4 linked regions of the Macaca mulatta genome follow. The protein of the gene in region 1 interacts with the protein of each later gene in a pairwise test. Links are inferred from orthologs where the notes say so. Each region holds a gene or a part of one and is shown in the gene's direction. Other genes may lie near its edges. The genes, in order: SATB1, TOPORS, PIAS4 and PIAS3.

The links.
Region 2: the proteins of SATB1 (region 1) and TOPORS interact in a two-hybrid assay, tested with the Homo sapiens proteins (2 studies listed by BioGRID and IntAct). The link is inferred for Macaca mulatta from reciprocal best matches to the Homo sapiens genes SATB1 and TOPORS.
Region 3: the proteins of SATB1 (region 1) and PIAS4 interact in a two-hybrid assay, tested with the Homo sapiens proteins (2 studies listed by BioGRID and IntAct). The link is inferred for Macaca mulatta from reciprocal best matches to the Homo sapiens genes SATB1 and PIAS4.
Region 4: the proteins of SATB1 (region 1) and PIAS3 interact in a two-hybrid assay, tested with the Homo sapiens proteins (2 studies listed by BioGRID and IntAct). The link is inferred for Macaca mulatta from reciprocal best matches to the Homo sapiens genes SATB1 and PIAS3.

The regions. Positions count from the first base shown.
Region 1 is NC_133407.1:30,103,312-30,107,670, forward strand, and holds the start of SATB1 (DNA-binding protein SATB1), read left to right. Parts: upstream 1-1,522; 5' UTR 1,523-1,652; intron 1,653-4,314; 5' UTR 4,315-4,338; coding exon 4,339-4,359. UniProt on the Homo sapiens protein: Crucial silencing factor contributing to the initiation of X inactivation mediated by Xist RNA that occurs during embryogenesis and in lymphoma.
Region 2 is NC_133420.1:66,822,499-66,826,667, forward strand, and holds the start of TOPORS (E3 ubiquitin-protein ligase Topors), read left to right. Parts: upstream 1-1,348; 5' UTR 1,349-1,472; coding exon of another isoform or gene 1,473-1,515; coding exon 1,516-1,518; exon of another isoform or gene 1,519-1,625; intron 1,626-2,979; coding exon 2,980-3,174; intron 3,175-4,169. Other genes in the region: TZMP1 (small integral membrane protein 27), read right to left, coding at 1,033-1,155, 1,473-1,517. UniProt on the Homo sapiens protein: Functions as an E3 ubiquitin-protein ligase and as an E3 SUMO1-protein ligase. Probable tumor suppressor involved in cell growth, cell proliferation and apoptosis that regulates p53/TP53 stability through ubiquitin-dependent degradation.
Region 3 is NC_133424.1:4,851,263-4,854,821, forward strand, and holds part of PIAS4 (E3 SUMO-protein ligase PIAS4), read left to right. Parts: intron 1-492; coding exon 493-566; intron 567-807; coding exon 808-968; intron 969-3,559.
Region 4 is NC_133406.1:119,438,286-119,442,478, forward strand, and holds the start of PIAS3 (E3 SUMO-protein ligase PIAS3), read left to right. Parts: upstream 1-1,386; 5' UTR 1,387-1,403; coding exon 1,404-1,427; intron 1,428-3,414; coding exon 3,415-3,832; intron 3,833-3,989; coding exon 3,990-4,074; intron 4,075-4,193. UniProt on the Homo sapiens protein: Functions as an E3-type small ubiquitin-like modifier (SUMO) ligase, stabilizing the interaction between UBE2I and the substrate, and as a SUMO-tethering factor.

The DNA.
Region 1 (4,359 bases):
CGGGAGGAGGCTGCGTGCTCGGGGCTGGGGCTGCGAGCGGGGTGATTTTGTATTAAAATGAGGAGGAGGAAGAAGAGGCACCCACAGCGGCAGCGGCGGCGGCGGCGGCAGCAGCAGCAGGAGCAGCGGCGGAGAGGGCTGCAGCCCGGGCGGACGCGCGGAGCCGAGCGGGGCACGGCGGCGGCGGCGACAGCGGCCGGGATGAGTCAACTAATAATTTAATGGGGGCAGAGACGGCAGCGAGGGGGAGAGCGAGCGAGGGAGAGAGCGAGAGAAGCAGCCCCGTCCGGGGACTCGCGCTCACACTCACGCACACACACACAAACACACACACACCTCTCCCTGTGCCACCCAGCAACACCCGGCCTCGTCACAACAACAACAGCCGCGGCCGCCCTCTAGCCTGCCTGGGGGCCCAGCCGAAAGCCAGGGCGACTCCAGAGGACGCTGCCCGCCCCCCTCTTTCATTTCAGGAAACTCCTGATCAGTTTTGTTGGGGTTTCTGGGTTTCTTCCCCCCCCAAGTCCTAGTGCCATTGTGGTGCTCGTTGTTTACCTCGGACTCTGGACGAGTGAGAGCTTGGCGACTTTTTGGGGGGAGGGGGCGGGGAGTTTGTCGCTGCCTAGGCGGTGGAGGTGGCTGGGGGTGCCTTCTGATCTTTCTCCTCCTCCCCCTCCCCCCGAACCTCTTCTTTCCTCACTTGCTGGGATCCCAGACGCTCACAGCCCCGCGTCAATGGGCAGGGAGAGGGTCCTTGGGGCTGTTGTCAGCGAGGGCAGAATCAAAAGTGGCATTTTAGTGCCTTTCCGGGGCTTTTCTCGCGACCCTCTGCCCCCCACCCTCGCTGTCCCCCGCTAGATGCCCTCGTTGGGGGTGCGAGGCTGTGGGGAAAAGTTTAAGGTTTGTTAATATTAGTCACGATTGTTGGGGAGGGGGGTGGGGGTGATTGGAAGGGAGGCAAGGTGGCCTTCCCAGTGCGCGTTCTTCGGGTTTGTTGGAGAATAATATTGCAAGTGACAGCCAGAAGTAGACTTTCAGTCCTCACACCGAAGAACCCGAGCGAGCAGGAGGGAGTGAGAGACGCGAAGGGCCTTTTTTTTTTTCCTTTTTGGAGACATTGTCCGCAGTGATTTTTTTTTTTTTTTTTTTTTTTAAAGAGAATCCTCAGTCACCACCTCGTTTCCCCAGCACCATCATAGTGTACAGCTCATAACGGGTTTTGCTTTGTTTTTACGATTTCCCCCCAACGAATCACTTGTCAGATCAATTTTATCTTCTTCCTCCTCCCTGCTTCCCACTCTCCCCTCCTCCCCATCGCAAACCCCGTTCTCTGAGGTTAGACATTTTACAAACGCATATATGTTGGTTTTCGAATTGTGATTTTTTTTTTTTAAACCCCTTTCTCATGGCTACTCTTCTAGACGTTTATTTCTGCCCTTCCCCCGCTTAGGGGGGCGGGGGTAGGGGAAAGGAAAAATAATACAATTTCAGGGGAAGTCGCCTTCAGGTCTGCTGCTTTTTTTTTTTTTTTTTTTTAAATTAAAAAAAAAAGGACATAGAAAACATCAGTCTTGAACTTCTCTTCAAGAACCCGGTCTGCAAAGGAAATCTCCTTTGTTTTTGTTATTTATATGCTGTCAAGTTTTGAAGTGGTGAGTTTCAGGTCGGTTTTGCTAATTTCACTCAGTAAAACTGCAGTGTTTCTGTTTCTAGATAGTACTTTGCTTCTTTGTCTCTTTAAAAGGTCACAGTGAAAGCTTGGCCTGGATCGTGCCGGCCATATGGAATGGATAAGGGCACAATCTTAAAATGTGATTATGGGGTTGTGTGGGGACGAAGGAGGCGATCCAGCTAGAAACTCATTGAAAAGGATCTCACTTTGCAAAAAAAATCGGTTCTTAAAAAACTATAATTTCGTGCTTTTCTTTCTTTTTAAAGGAAATAATTGTTAGAGTTCACTGTTTTATTAAGTAATTATCATATATGGTCTTAGTTTATGGGCAGATAAATGGGATTTTCAGAAAGTAGCTTGCTTTCTGTGTGGCAACCAGACATTACACTAAAATGGGTTGTAACATGTGTAACTCAAAAGAAACTCTTCAGCCTGGCATCTGTTGAGACCATAGTTAGTTCCTGCTGCTGTCATCCAGGCAGGCCTGTTGGAGATTGCTCTTTTCAATTCCAAACTGTGGTTTGGTGAACTTTAGCCCGGGCATAGAGTTTAAATGAGTAAATTGGGTGTTTTATGTGCATTTAATTTTGGTTTGTAATGTGAAGCTTTTTACACCATGACTTAGTGTTTAATAGATGCTTATAGGTGGGTATTCAAAGGACAGTTTTTCATGACCTATGTGATACTTTGATTGTCAATACATTAACTAAATTATAATATATCATTTTCATTTGCTGTACGGTTTATAGTGTTGTTAAGCTTCATGATTACTTAATATGTTTTATAGCATTAACTTTGATGCTGTTGTCTACACCCCCTCCCTTTTTTTCCTCTTAAATTGCCCCAAGGGCTAAACATTTTTCTTTTCAAATCATATGTTTTAAAATTCATCTTCTGCTCTAGGATGAGGCAACCAATTTCAGAAAAAGCAGCTCTGTATTATCCACATGAAACATTATAAAGAGTGTTTTGAATAAGTTAATAATCATTGCTTTCTAATTTTGGCTTTAGACTGCAGTTTAATATAATGGAAAAGAGTAATCTTGATAAAAAGTGGTTTAAAAAGGCACATTTATTGTTAATGAACCTCATAACCAAAAACAGATGGGACCTCGATCAACGGTAAACCTTTAGTTCTCAGTGTGCCACTCTGGAGTACAAAGATAAATAGCCGTTAATTTTTCTCAAACTTTATAGTTCTTCAATTGGCATTCTTAAGGTTGCTTTTAAACTTCCAGATTAACATTACTGCCCCCCTTTTCTTGATTATATGGTAAGAAGTAGGCTATGGTTAAACAGAAGAAAAAAATGTTTACAGAAAAGCCATGCTAACACAAACTGGCTTTCAGCAAATCCAGATTTAAATAGCTTCAGTGTAACAATTTACAACAAAAACAAGCCATGTCAAATTACTAGACAGCTAGGAAAAATGGTAATTATTCTCTCTGGTTTTCCTAAATATGATGCCTTATTTTCATAAGCTCAATATTTCAAATACCATCAAAGTTCATAAAATAATTCTACTTACCTGTTCTTATCAATTCTAATTAAAACTATGCTTTAAAAATGACTTTGATATTATCTAATCACTTTACTATAAATGATGTGAAAATTGATGTCTAGTATATAACTGAAAATAATTATCTGTTAATTTTTTTGAAGTTAATTACAATGTTAACGCCATTGCATGCTGAGGTTGTTTCTGAATACTGGATATTTTGTTTTACCAGTGTCATCAAGGTTTTTTTTTTTGTGTGTGTGTGTTTTAATTGAGCTTGGCACTTCAACCTAATGTGTATATCACAAAGTGTATTCTAAATTTTTAAAAAATATTTATTGTTAACAGCCCTCTATTGCTAATGGACACCTAAATACTACAAAACACATGAGTTTTAATGCATCAGTACATTGGATATTTGAAAACCCTTCACTTCTTCCTGTTTCCTTAGGGGTAAACTGATCCAATCACATGTTTGACCCAAGACTTGACTAGATCTGTCACATAACTCTTGAAACTTTGATAGTGGAAAACTTTTTCTATGCATTAACTTATAAAAGCCAGTGGGGAGTTTAAAAAACAGTTAGATGTTTGTTACCTTCTTTTGAGATTGTGTATGATTTTCCTCAGAATTTATATTCATATACATATAAAACATATATGTATATGTATATTATATGTACATACACATATAAACATATACATTAGATTTCTAATATTTTGAACTGTGATCATCTTTCCATCCTTTATTAAAGTGTTTCTGCTGTATTTTGTAATGAGTTTCTAATTGTTAAAAATTGGGACTACATAAATAAAATTTGCTGTTTTCTTTTTAGCTATACTTGTGATAATTCTTGTTCTAAAAGTAAGCCCATTTCTCCCCACTTAGTTTTTTTTATAGGCCAATTGCCTTTTTATTCGTGTGTATTGGTACAGTTTCCACAGATCATTTTGTTAATTTAAATAAGAATGTAAGGCTATTATCTAGAAATATAGTAACATCTGTATCATATCTAGATAGGCCATTTTACCAATACATTATATTTGTGGAGAGATATCTAGAGCTAAAACATTTACATAGGACACATATATACACGTAGGTCCCCACCCAATTATAACATGTCTTCTTTTTAAATTCTGGCAGGTGATCTTTAGACAGTGACTGAGTATGGATCATTTGAACGAGGCA
Region 2 (4,169 bases), on another chromosome or scaffold:
GGTCATTCTTGACTTGGAAAACAGGGTATGGAAAAGTATTCAGTTACGTACTAGTTTGTTTGGTTTTTTTTCCTTATACAATACTTTAATTTGGTATCAGGGTATGCAACAGTGAATTTTCGCAATAAACAAATATAAGAACAGAAATTCCATGCACTTTTGTTTTAAGGAAATCTTTCCGGCTGGGCATGGTGGCTCACGCCTGTAATCCTAGCACTTTGGGAGGCCAAGGCGGGCAGATCACGAGGTCAGGAGATCAAGACCATCCTGGCAAACACAGTGAAACCCCGTCTCTACTAAAAATACAAAAAAATTAGCCGGGCATGGTGGCGGGCACCTGTAGTCCCAGCTACTCGGGAGGCTGAGGCAGGAGAATGGTGTGAACCCAGAAGGCAGAGCTTGCAGTGAGCTGAGATAGAGCCACTGACTGCACTCCAGCCTGGGCGACAGAGCAAGACACTGTCCCTACCCACCCCCCCCCAAAAATAAGGAATCTTTCCGAGTCATTTTTAAAGAATTTAGAAACTTCATTGAAAAGCTTATTTGCTGTTTTGTCATGAGAATGTAAAATACTAAAATTTCTAAGTTAAAAATTTGCATATTAGTGCTTGTTACAAAAGATAATGCAAAAATAAACTTGGGAACTTTGCATTATGAATTTTATTTTTAAATCTACATAAGCATGAGGGAAAGAACTGTATTTTCAAAGAATTAAATACAGAGGAGTTACAAATTTTCATTCGTCCCAAAGATTTTGTCTGTGTATTTCTTCCTTAGCTGTCGTCTTGCAGACACCATTAAAGCATAGATGATGCAGCCCCAGTTGATTAAAACGATGGCAAGCAGCAACTAAACCAAAAACTGCAAAAGAGGTGTGAAATGTGCCTGATATTTCTGCAAATTTGCATACTAGTGCTTGTTATAAAGGATAATGCAAAAATAAACTTGGGAACTTTGCATTATGAATTTTACTTTTAAATCTACCTAAGCATGAGGGAAAGAACTATTTTCAGAGAAGTAAATCCAGAGGAGTTACAAATTTTCATTCGTCCCAAAGATTTTGTCTGGGTATTTCTTCCTTAGCTGTCGTCTTGCAGACACCATTGAAGCATAGATGATGCAGCCCCAGGAGATTAAAACGATGACAAGCAGCAACTAAACCAAAAACCAAAAGAGGTGTGAAATGTGCCTGGTATTTCCCCCCGCCGTCAGGTTACCGTGTGCCATTGCTAAGGTGGGAATTAAAGTAACAAAGTCGAATAAATGGGGTTCCAGTGGCGGGTACACCCAGCTGCCCTTACGTAAGAAGCGGAAGATCGTATCCTCCAGGAAGAGGCGGAGTCGAGGTGAGGGAGTGAAATGCTTAATTCAGGAATGGATTTTGGAGTTTCTGGGTGCTGAAGAAGTAGAGCCTTTCTGCCTGCAGGCCCAGTGAGTCGACACGGTGGGGGCCCGCGAGCCCCGGGACTTACCACAGAATAAATCCAGTCCAGCGTGCGACGACTCACTGGCTTCATGGTAAGGAGGCGGCAGCGGTTCGCGGGAGCTGGCGGGAGTTGCGGGCCTTACAGTAACCTCCCAGGCGGTGGCTGCCCGGCGGCAGCAGCCATCTTTTAGCCGGGCACGAGCGGCCGCCCACTCGCTTCGTGCAGAGGTGTTGCCGGCCTCTTCCGCCCGGAGTTGGTGGGGGGGGGGGGGCGGGATCACGTGATCGGGGGCCTTGCCCGCCTTTTAGAGGGGAATAAACGAGAAAATGTTAAAAATTGCCTTTTTTTTTTTTTCCTTTTTTTGCCAACTAGAGAGATAGGAGATGGGCGTACCTCCACAGGTTTTCTTTATAGTTGCAATGCAGTATTAACGCAGGATGAGGTGCTGTCGTGTCCATTGAAAAGTTTATTTGAAAAACAATCCACGTTTTAAATATTACGTCGGGGTCTAAAGCTGGAAGAATTAATGCTTTCTCCCCCGGCTTCCCTACGCCTCTCCGCATCTGATACCACACGATTTAGATGAACGTTCGCCTGTTCATCTTTGACGTAAAAATACCACCCACTCTTTTGTATGTGACAGATCGTTGTGGGAACCCCTGTAAATCGAGCCGTTCTTCACAAATGTATAGCATGATGTATATCTCTAAGAAGAAATATGTGGGATGCGTTACCCGCCATAATGTACCAGTCAAGCAACAAGTGTTTTCTGAGCGTGTCTGAGGTTCTTGAACGGCCGCGCATGAGATACTGAGCCCCGAGCACGGCAGTTTGGCTGGCAAGCGTACCAGGTTCAGCTCTAGAATGTTTGGGACGCTCACATTTGAGGCCTGAGGAGTAGAATCTGGCAACGGGCCGCTTTAGGCTCTAGACGTTCTTTATACCTCGCAGTTATCTTAAAAGAGTTTTAGTCTAGATTTCAGGGAGTGGGAAGGGGAAGAGCGGAGAAAAACGTGGTCTGTTTAGGGAAGAGTCCAGGCCCTGTTTTGTTAGGTTGTCCTGTTTCTCCCCAGCCTGGAGGGGATCCCTCTCTGAAGATTTTATAGGATACTGGTTGGGCTCTGGTTTTGGATCCCGTTGGACTCCCGGTGTTGCTTCCGGGACTTCAACTCCGTGTAACAGTTCCCTTATCTAGACACTAGAGACAATTTCGTAAGTTCCCGCAGAGTTTGGTGAGGTTGAAACGACATCGAACTAGTTGTCGTGTTTTCCGGGTAAGTTAGGGGCGAACATTCAGTCAGTGTCCCCAGCGGCTGAGTACCAGTAACAAGATGGGGAGGGTCGCACTGCCCTCATCCCGGGTCTGGAGCTGCGGGGGAGGGGCCGCGTTTCGGCAGGCGCGCTGAGCCCCGCCCTCGGGGCCGGCGCCCATCTCCTGCGCATGCGTGGCGAAGGCGGGTGTTGTGTTTTGACGCGCCGGGAGCTGGTGGGTGGGTCTCACTCTCTGCCCTGCTTCCGAGCTGCCATTGGTGATGAGCGCTTTGCGTCACAGGGGTCGCAGCCGCCGCTGGGGTCTCCGCTGTCTCGCGAGGAGGGTGAAGCGCCCCCGCCTGCTCCCGCTTCGGAGGGTAGGCGGAGAAGTCGCCGGGTACGCCTTCGCGGATCCTGCCGTCACCGACCTAGCTTTCTGGGCTGCCGGGAGCTCGTGGCGAGCGCCCCAGCCAGGCCTGCGCCGGCATCCTCCGAGGTGAGTGAGATTCGGAACAATGGGACGTGGGGGTCGGAAGGGTCGGATGAGCTGACGCTCCCGCCTGGAGCGGCGCCTCGGGACCCGAGGGCTGCGGGTTTGGCCTGCGGGGCCGTCCGGGCCTCAGCGGGCCAGGGCCAGGGCCCCCGGGCGGCTTCTGCGCGCACCTGTGGATTGGTGCGGGCGGGCGAGGGTTGCGCTTCCCACAAGCGCTCCCGAGGGGCGCGAGCCTGCCCGTGTACTGGAAAGAGCTTGGTCTCAGGGAAAAACGAAAAAGCAATGAAACTGAATCGTGGCGTCACCCTTACAGGATATGTGACCTTGCCTAGGTCCCCTAAGCCCCTGAGCCTGTCTGTAAAATGGGAATAACAATATTTAAGTTCATTGTAGTTATGTAATGCTCATGGTGCCTATCTTAGGTCTGTCTAGTGGCAGTTCTGAACCAAAGCAAACGACTATCACCGTGGCTTTTGGACTCGTCTGTGCTGTTAAACATTCTGAGCAGAAATTGCCCGTGACTTGTTCATGCATCCAGTTACTGCAGCTTTCCTCATGGGTTGCTGATTGTAGGCTGGAAGGGGGCAGTGCTGAGATGAGCCACATAGTGATTTAAGAGGAAAACGGAGTAGACCTTTTGATAGGTAATTTTCAAGATTATTTAAGATAAATTAAGAAACAGCTGCCCGAGATTTTAGTAGTGGTGAGAACTTTCTGGGTTTTGTCCATGAAATGCAAAGAAAGCTATACAATCAGCTAAAATCAATCATGCTTGTCTGGAATGAGTGGTTTTAGAGGGGAACGGTTCCCAACCAATTCTTATTGCAGGAATTGGAATTCAATTTGATAGGATCTGGTCAGCAGATCGCATAACTTTTGTATCTTCTTTTGGAATTGATTAAAATGTATTTCAGAGAGGTACAGTGATTTCTTTAAGGTGGCAAGAGGTAGCGAACCTGTTTAAGTATGATGATTGTTTTGTTGTTACAGACTATCCT
Region 3 (3,559 bases), on another chromosome or scaffold:
GGTGTGCGGGCTGCCTCGGCGTGGTGTCCGGGGCTGGGCGGCGGCCTCTTCCTGGCTCACAGCCGGGAGGCCCCCGGGTCCATCTCCCAAAGGAATCCCTGCCTCATTCCCCACTGTGGCCTTGGGGATGGTGCGTCAGTGACGGAATTAAGTCACAGCAATGACCCCGTCGGTGGCTGTGTTGCATGAAACTTTCCAGAAAAGTCCCGTGGGTCACAGCCCACGCGGGGTAGGGGAGGCCACATAGGCCACCTGCGTGTGGGGGCGTCGGCTGGGTCTGTGGTGTGCCCAGGTTGTGGTCAAATCTAATGGTGGTCGCCGCCTGACTTCCTCTGGTGCCTCGTGGCCCTGAGCCACACAGCGAGGCTCAAGGCTCGTTTTGGGGGCATCTATTCTGGGAGGTGGTCACGGGTGCTGGAGAGAACCCGAATCCCAGTCCTGTGCCCCACTGTGCCCACCTCTCTGACGGCGTCCTCCGTTCCCTCCCCACAGTCAAGGAGAAGCTGCGCCTGGATCCCGACAGCGAGATCGCCACCACTGGTGTGCGGGTGTCCCTCATCTGCCCGGTGAGTTGGGGCAGCCTCCTCCTTGGGGCCTCTCCTGCGGCTGTACTTCCTCCCTGGTGGCCCTGGGCCCAGGGCATCTTGGCTGGACCGTGAGCCTGCGGGGGCAAGGCTGGTCTTGGTCCCCCCGTGTTCCTGAGGCATGAGCGTTGGAACAAGCCACAGGATGGAGCTGGGGGTGAGGGGTGCCGGGTGGGCGGGCACAGCAGACGGGTGCCATGCTCACGCAGCCCCTCCCCCGCAGCTGGTGAAGATGCGGCTCTCTGTGCCCTGCCGGGCAGAGACCTGCGCCCACCTGCAGTGCTTCGACGCCGTCTTCTACCTGCAGATGAATGAGAAGAAGCCCACCTGGATGTGCCCCGTGTGCGACAAGCCAGCCCCCTACGACCAGCTCATCATCGATGGGTGAGCCTGGGGCCCCGGGAGGGCGGCCGGAGCCGGGCGGCCATGGAGATCTCGGCAGCACCCTGCTTCCTGCAGACCCCGTGCTGCCCCAGCAAGACACAGCAGTGGGGACACACGGTCCCGGAGCTTTGGAAGCCCCGGGCTGTGAGAAGAGCCCGTTTCTTGCTCGCGGAACTTTTCAGAGCCTTTGCTGTGCAGGCGATAGGCATGTAGCTTAGGCTGCAGAAGGCGGGCTCAGGTCCACCCCGCTCCCACATGACCTCAGGCAGGTGTGACCTTGAGCTCCAGGAGTGTGGTTTTTGCCCCAAAAAACCAAGCCGGACTCTGCTTTCACACGGCGTTCGCCCCAGGACGCGCAGCAATGGGGGTGGCTCCTCACAGAGAGGCGAAGGAGGTGGTGCCCCTGGAGTGCTCTGGCCACGCCATACCCTTCCCTTCCTGGGTGGCACAGCTGTGGCCAGGCATTCCCCAGGCACCAGGGGACAGGAGGACAAGACCTTTCTCCCTGGAGGGAGGCTCTGCCCAGGGCTTAAGTTTCCAGAAACTGAGCCCTGTTGTCTGTGGCACCTGATGCGGCTCCTGCATGGCGCCGGCCACGCCCACCTCTCGTCCCCAGAGCCTCTGGCAGGGCGTGAGGCCACAGCGGCACGAGCTGGTGCCCTCACAGGCGGGAGCAGGCCCTGCCTGGGGGGGTGAGCTGGGCCCCCAGCCCTCGGGTGCACGGCCTCAGTGGACCGTGCAGGTGAAGGCAGGGCTGGCCTGCCTCTGGGGTCATAGATTTGGTCCCTAAGTAGACCTCCGGTTTGTGCAGTTGTCCCCATCCTGGGAGGCAGACCTGTGAGCTTCCCCATTTTACAGACGAGGAAACAGGCTCAGAGGAGGCAGCCAGCAGCTGGAGCCCCCCTCGGCTCACAGGGGGCCAGACTGGGACTTGAACTTGGCCTGAGTCTGGGTCGCCTCTGTGGAAGGCTGGGTGGCCACCCCCTTGCATCCCAGCTTCGGGTAGAGAGAGGAGACCCTGGGGCCGGGCACGTGGACTGCCTGAATGGCTGCTCTGTTCCCAGCTTGACAGCTGTGCAGCCGGGTGCCCGCCTTCCCCCACAGGCCCGGAGTGGGGCTTGGGCTTGGGGTGGCGGCAGCTCTTACAGCTCTCACAGCTCCAGGGCCACCAGGGCTGGGGCAGACAGCTGTATCCCACACAGGCCTTGGCCTCAGCAGCCCATGGGACTCAGTGTAGCCAGGGAGGCTTCCTGGAGGAGAGGTCCTTGATTCATACTTTGTTCCATGAGCCCTGTCGTCTGTCTGTCCCTGGCTCTGAGTGGGTGACCCCAGGGTCCCCAAAAGAGTCCTGTTCCAGACCCTGCCTACAGGGAGCCTTGTTCTTGGCGGGGGGAGCGGATAGAGGAGCAGAGCCAGACATAAACTGCTGTGTCTGTCTTGGAGAGGAGGAAGAGAAGCTGTGGGGTGGGACTTTGGAGGGTGAGAAGGAGTTTTGCAAACAGGGCAGTGAGCAGGCAGAGCTGTGCTACGCCTGGGGTGGCCCCCCGGCACAGGGGGCTCTGAGCATTGCCTCAGAGAGACCTCGGTGGGGCGGGCGGGGGACTGGCCTGGGTGAGAGGAGTCCCATCAGCCTCAGAAAGTGTCGCCCAGAAGGCTGGGTATGGTGGCTCACGCCTGTAATCCCAACACTTTGGGAGGCCGAGGCGGGTGGATCACGAGGTCAGGAGATCAAGACCACAGTGAAACCCCGTCTCCACTAAAAATACAAAAAATTAGCCGGCGCGGTTGTGGGCGTCTGTAGCCCCAGCTCCTCGGGAGGCTGAGGCAGGAGAATGGCATGAACCCGGGAGGCGGAGCTTGCAGTGAGCCGAGATCACGCCACTGCACTCCAGCCTGGGGGACAGAGCGAGACTCCGTCTCAAAAAAAAAAAAAAAAAGAAAATGTCGCCCAGAGCGGGACGAGGGCTGTCCTGTGTGATGAGAACGACACCACTGCAGGCGCCTGGGAGCAGCTGTAGCCTTGACAGTAACAGGCCAGCCTGAGCCCTGCATGGACCCATGAGGCATGGGGCCTCTCCCCAGACGCCCCCCAGCCACTGCGCCCTTCCCTCCTGCGGGTGGGGAGACCGAGGCCCTTTGGCCAGGACGGGGTCGGGGAGCAGAACCAGTGCCTGCCTCCAGTTGGCCCTGTGGCCTCAGGGAACTCATCCCCTTCCTGAGCCTCTGTTTCTGCGTTTGTGAAATGGGACTGGCGGGACCTCCAAGGAAGAAGGCCGTACACAGCGGGGGCGCTCTGGAGAGGCTGTGGCTGGGATGGGCATGGGGAGCCCTGGCTCTGCTTCCAGTGCTGCCCTCACAGCCTCTGCAGCGGCTTTGAGCAGCCTTCACTGCAGGCCGTTTCCTGATCTGGGGGGTACACAGTGCAGTATGAAAGCAGATGTGGGCGCACACCCGCATGTCCACACATGGATGTGGTCCACACCGTCTCACACACCCCCACACCCATACAGTCCACACCGTAACCCACACCCACATCCCTACAGTCCACACCGTAACCCACACCCACATACCCACATCCCTACAGTCCACAC
Region 4 (4,193 bases), on another chromosome or scaffold:
GGCCTGCATGTGAGTGATCAGCTTGGTTGGGATGGGGCCTCTGGAGGGTCCAAGGCTTTGGAGGAAGGAGAGTGAGTAGGTAGTTCAGAGAGGGACAGAAAGATTCCTTTTGTTGGCAAGAAAACCCCTCAATTCATCTTCAGCTACACCAAAGGTATGGGGGCTCTGGTGGAGGTACTGTGCAGGGGTATCTGGAGTAGTTACTGTTAGGTACACTTTGGATTCAGTAGCCCAGGCTTTGCCCTAGGGAGAGACAGTTGTCATTTCAAGGAAGACTGCTTTATACGGTCAGACACCTGGTTCACACGGCCTTAGCAGCAGCGTGCCACCACCCCAATCCCACACATAAGCGTGAGGGGTCACAGAGGTAGTGAGAATGATGGGATCCAAGGATCTCATCTCTCCAGATCCACTCACACCAGGAGTTAATCGCTCCAGCGCCAGGCTCTGAGTCCCTCCCTCTCTCGCCCGAGCTCCGCCCCCCTTCCCTCTCGGCGGTCCTGGCGGGCTTCCCGTGGAGGGGGCGGCCCCAGCCCGAGCGCTAGGCCGGGCGGAGCTCCGGCCCGGGCGGAGCCGCGGCCGCCGCGTCCGGCCGCTGGACCGAACTTCTGCCGTGCGGACAGCAGGAGCGGCGCCGAGCCCCATGCCCCCACCTCTCCAGCCCGCCCTCTGAGCCTCCCGAACCCTCTCTCCATTTCCCACAACTGTGCTGGTAAGTCCCGCTCCCCGCACCAAACTTTTTTTGCTGCTGAGTTTGAGTCCTACGATCGGACCACGAGCTGCATTGTAGTTGGTGTTGGGGGGAGGAGGAGAGGGTGAATTGAGTATAGCTGTCTTGAACTGAATGCCGACTCCACGGCTTCCCTAAGACGGATCAGCGCTCGCCCATTTCCCGAGTTGGAAGACCTCTCGATTTTAGTTGCTTAAACTTATGTAGAGATGGAGATGAGGGTTTGCGCTCCAACTTCGCTACCCCCTCCCCCATTTCTCTGAGCTCTAGCAGTTCCCGATACTTTCCCTCCATCTTTCAAGTATCTTTGGCTCTCTAAAAGCTTGTCCCCTCCCAACTCTGCCGTGGCAAAGCCCCCCTCCACCAGGCACTTCGGACCCGCCTCCTCTTCGTTGCCCTAGGGGACCCCGCGATCTTGGGGGCCATAAACTCCCTCCGGGGCTACGCGTCCTGCCAACCCGCCGCAGACGTGTAGCTGCTGGGTCCGCTGTGGAGGGAGGGGCTCAGGCTGGGGCTAGTCCGAAGCCAGGCGGGCGGGGCCGGGAAGGGGAGGTATAGGGGGCCGGACGGGGCGGAGCAGGCGGCATTTGCGGCCGGCGCCGGGGTGGAGAGTTGTGCGCCGGTCCCTGGGCCTGAGCTCCGGCTCCGGCTAGGGCGCCTGCGATGTCTCAAGATGGCGGAGCTGGGCGAATTAAAGGTACCGGCCCCCTCCCCCATCCCCATCTGGACTGATTCCGGCGGTACGCCGTGTCCGGGAAGCGACCGAGACTGGGTGCCGGGGCTCGGGTGGGCGCCGACGACGTGGCAGGCACGGGCTGCTGAGGATGGGAAAGAAGTGGCTGAGAGCGAGGAAGGGGCTGCGGCGGGGCTCCGGGGGCGGGGCTGCGGGGCAGATGTAGGGGTGGGGCCGAGGGGAATTGCAGCTGTTGGGGGCTGAGGCGCAGGGGGCGGGGACGAAGGGTAGAAGTCGGATTTAGTAGTAGGGGCAGTTGTTGGGGTAGGGCCAGGGGGAAAAGCTGCTCTAGAGGCACTGGGGGCGAGTCGATCGAGGCCAAGAGATGCGACAGTAGGGGGCAGATGCAGGGATGGGACCGCGGGGCAGATGTAGGGGAGGCTCCGGGGGAAAGGCAGCTGAAAGGGTAGGGTCTTTGGGGCTACTCTCGGGATCCGAGCTTTGGGAAATACCAGTAGGCGGCTGAGATGCAGGGGGCGGGGCTGTGCGGGCTGATACCTCGAGGGGTGGGGCAGAAGCATCCTGGAGGCTCAGAGGAAGGTCCTGCCTTAGTGAATCGCGATGTTTGGGCAGAGGCAGAGGCATGTGAAACTATGAGATAGAAAGGAGGGAAGTTATAGGGAAAGCTAATGGAAAAAATAAGACAGGACAGAGAAGATAAAGATTGGGAGAAAGAGGAGCAAGTTTCTCATCACATTCCACAAAAGGGGTCCAAGACAAAGCCTCCTGTGAGAAGAATTGTGTAGGGCTAGCAAGCCCTGCCCATGACAGGATCTCCTAGAGATTCACAGAAGGGAGTCCTCCCTCTAAGGAGAGCGCTCCCCTCCTTCTGCCACACAGAGTTTGGAGGGTGACCACGTCTGAGGACATCTCATAGAACCTTAAACCACCGAGTTCATCCCCATGCCTCCTGGTTTTCTTCTGCCCTTTGAAATGGAGCTATGGTCCTGGGCAGTCTGGAGGTCTAGCCACTGGGCCCAGCTACCTTCAGGAAATTTGCGATTCTGTGCCCTGACTCAGAGGCTTTTCCTTCATCCACCCAGGGCCTCTGTTTAGAGCTCTGCCCGCTCCTCTTCCACCCGTGTAGGGGGGCTGTAGGTTGTACAGGAGTATTATTTTCTCTCTGTAGGAGAGACGCCAGATAATGGTTCCTGGCAGATAGAGTAAACAGGCAGGATACTTGGACTCAGTGAATCACTGTTAATCTCCTCAACCTAAGTTTTGGTCCTGTTTCCCTTCCAGAAAAATAGGACTAAGTTGTGGGGAGGGGGCGGTTATATTAATGATTCCAAGAAAGGATCTGGGGGAGTAATGAGCATTGAACCCTGACCTGAAAACCCCGGCCCACAGAAGCTTCAGAGGCTTGGGGGAAATAGCTGAGGAATTAAGGTGGTTTGGAGGGGTGGGCTGAAGGGCACAATCCTCCAGCCACCTGGCCCCTTTCTTCCCCGTGGGGCTGTCTGGCTTGAATCCTCTTGTCTCTCCCTCCTTCTCCCTGTCTCCTATCCTCTTCCCAGGAGGCTGGGATGAGTTTGAGTGTCTGAGAAAGGGCAAGAGAGGAGATAAGCAGCTTAAAGGAGAGTCCAGACTAGAGGCAGGGTTGGAGGCGGGAGGCTGTGTAGACTTGGAGGTGTGTCTGAGGGTGGCTTGCTGTCTGCCATTCCCTGCCCCACTCTGGCCACTTCCAGGCCTGGGGAGACAGACAGTGTTGCTCAAGCTTGGGGTGGGCAGGGGGTGGTGATGATGCTGACCTGATGGTTGCTAAAGTGGGACTGAGATGTCCCTTTGGATAGGTTGACTACCTGGCAGTAATCCACTAGCTGCGAAGCATCATCTTTCCCATCAGTGCTGGAGGGAAAAAGGCACTGCCCACCTGGTAGCTCAGCCCATGTCTTGGCAGGGCAGGCCTGTGCAACGGAGGATTCTCAAGCTTCTCTGTTCTTCTCCACAGCACATGGTGATGAGTTTCCGGGTGTCTGAGCTCCAGGTGCTTCTTGGCTTTGCTGGCCGGAACAAGAGTGGGCGGAAGCACGAGCTCCTGGCCAAGGCCCTGCACCTCCTGAAGTCCAGCTGTGCCCCTAGCGTCCAGATGAAGATCAAAGAGCTTTACCGACGACGCTTTCCCCGGAAGACCCTGGGGCCCTCTGACCTCTCCCTTCTCTCTTTGCCTCCTGGCACCTCTCCTGTAGGCTCCCCTGGTCCTCTAGCTCCCATTCCCCCAACCCTCTTGGCCCCTGGCACCCTGCTGGGCCCCAAGCGTGAGGTGGACATGCACCCCTCTCTTGCCCAGCCTGTGCACCCTGATGTCACCATGAAACCATTGCCCTTCTATGAAGTCTACGGGGAGCTCATCCGGCCCACCACCCTTGGTATGGCTCTTTGTGGTCCCTTAGTCTTCTGGACTCCCTACCTGTTCCCCAGACATTTCTTAGGCTTTAGTCCTATGGGATCAGTGACCTGGGATGGGGGTGATTTCTGTGGCTGCCTGTGCATGGGCTTGGAATAACTGCCCCTTTGTATCCTCAGCATCCACTTCTAGCCAGCGGTTTGAGGAAGCGCACTTTACCTTTGCCCTCACACCCCAGCAAGTGCAGCAGATTCTTACATCCAGGTACATCTCTTCCAGTCTTCCTCCCTCATCCCTGGGGGGTTACCCCTGGACTCTGCTTTCTGACTTTCTTCTCTTCTGCCCTGCGCTTTTCCCTATCCATCCTCTTGTGCCTACTTGTC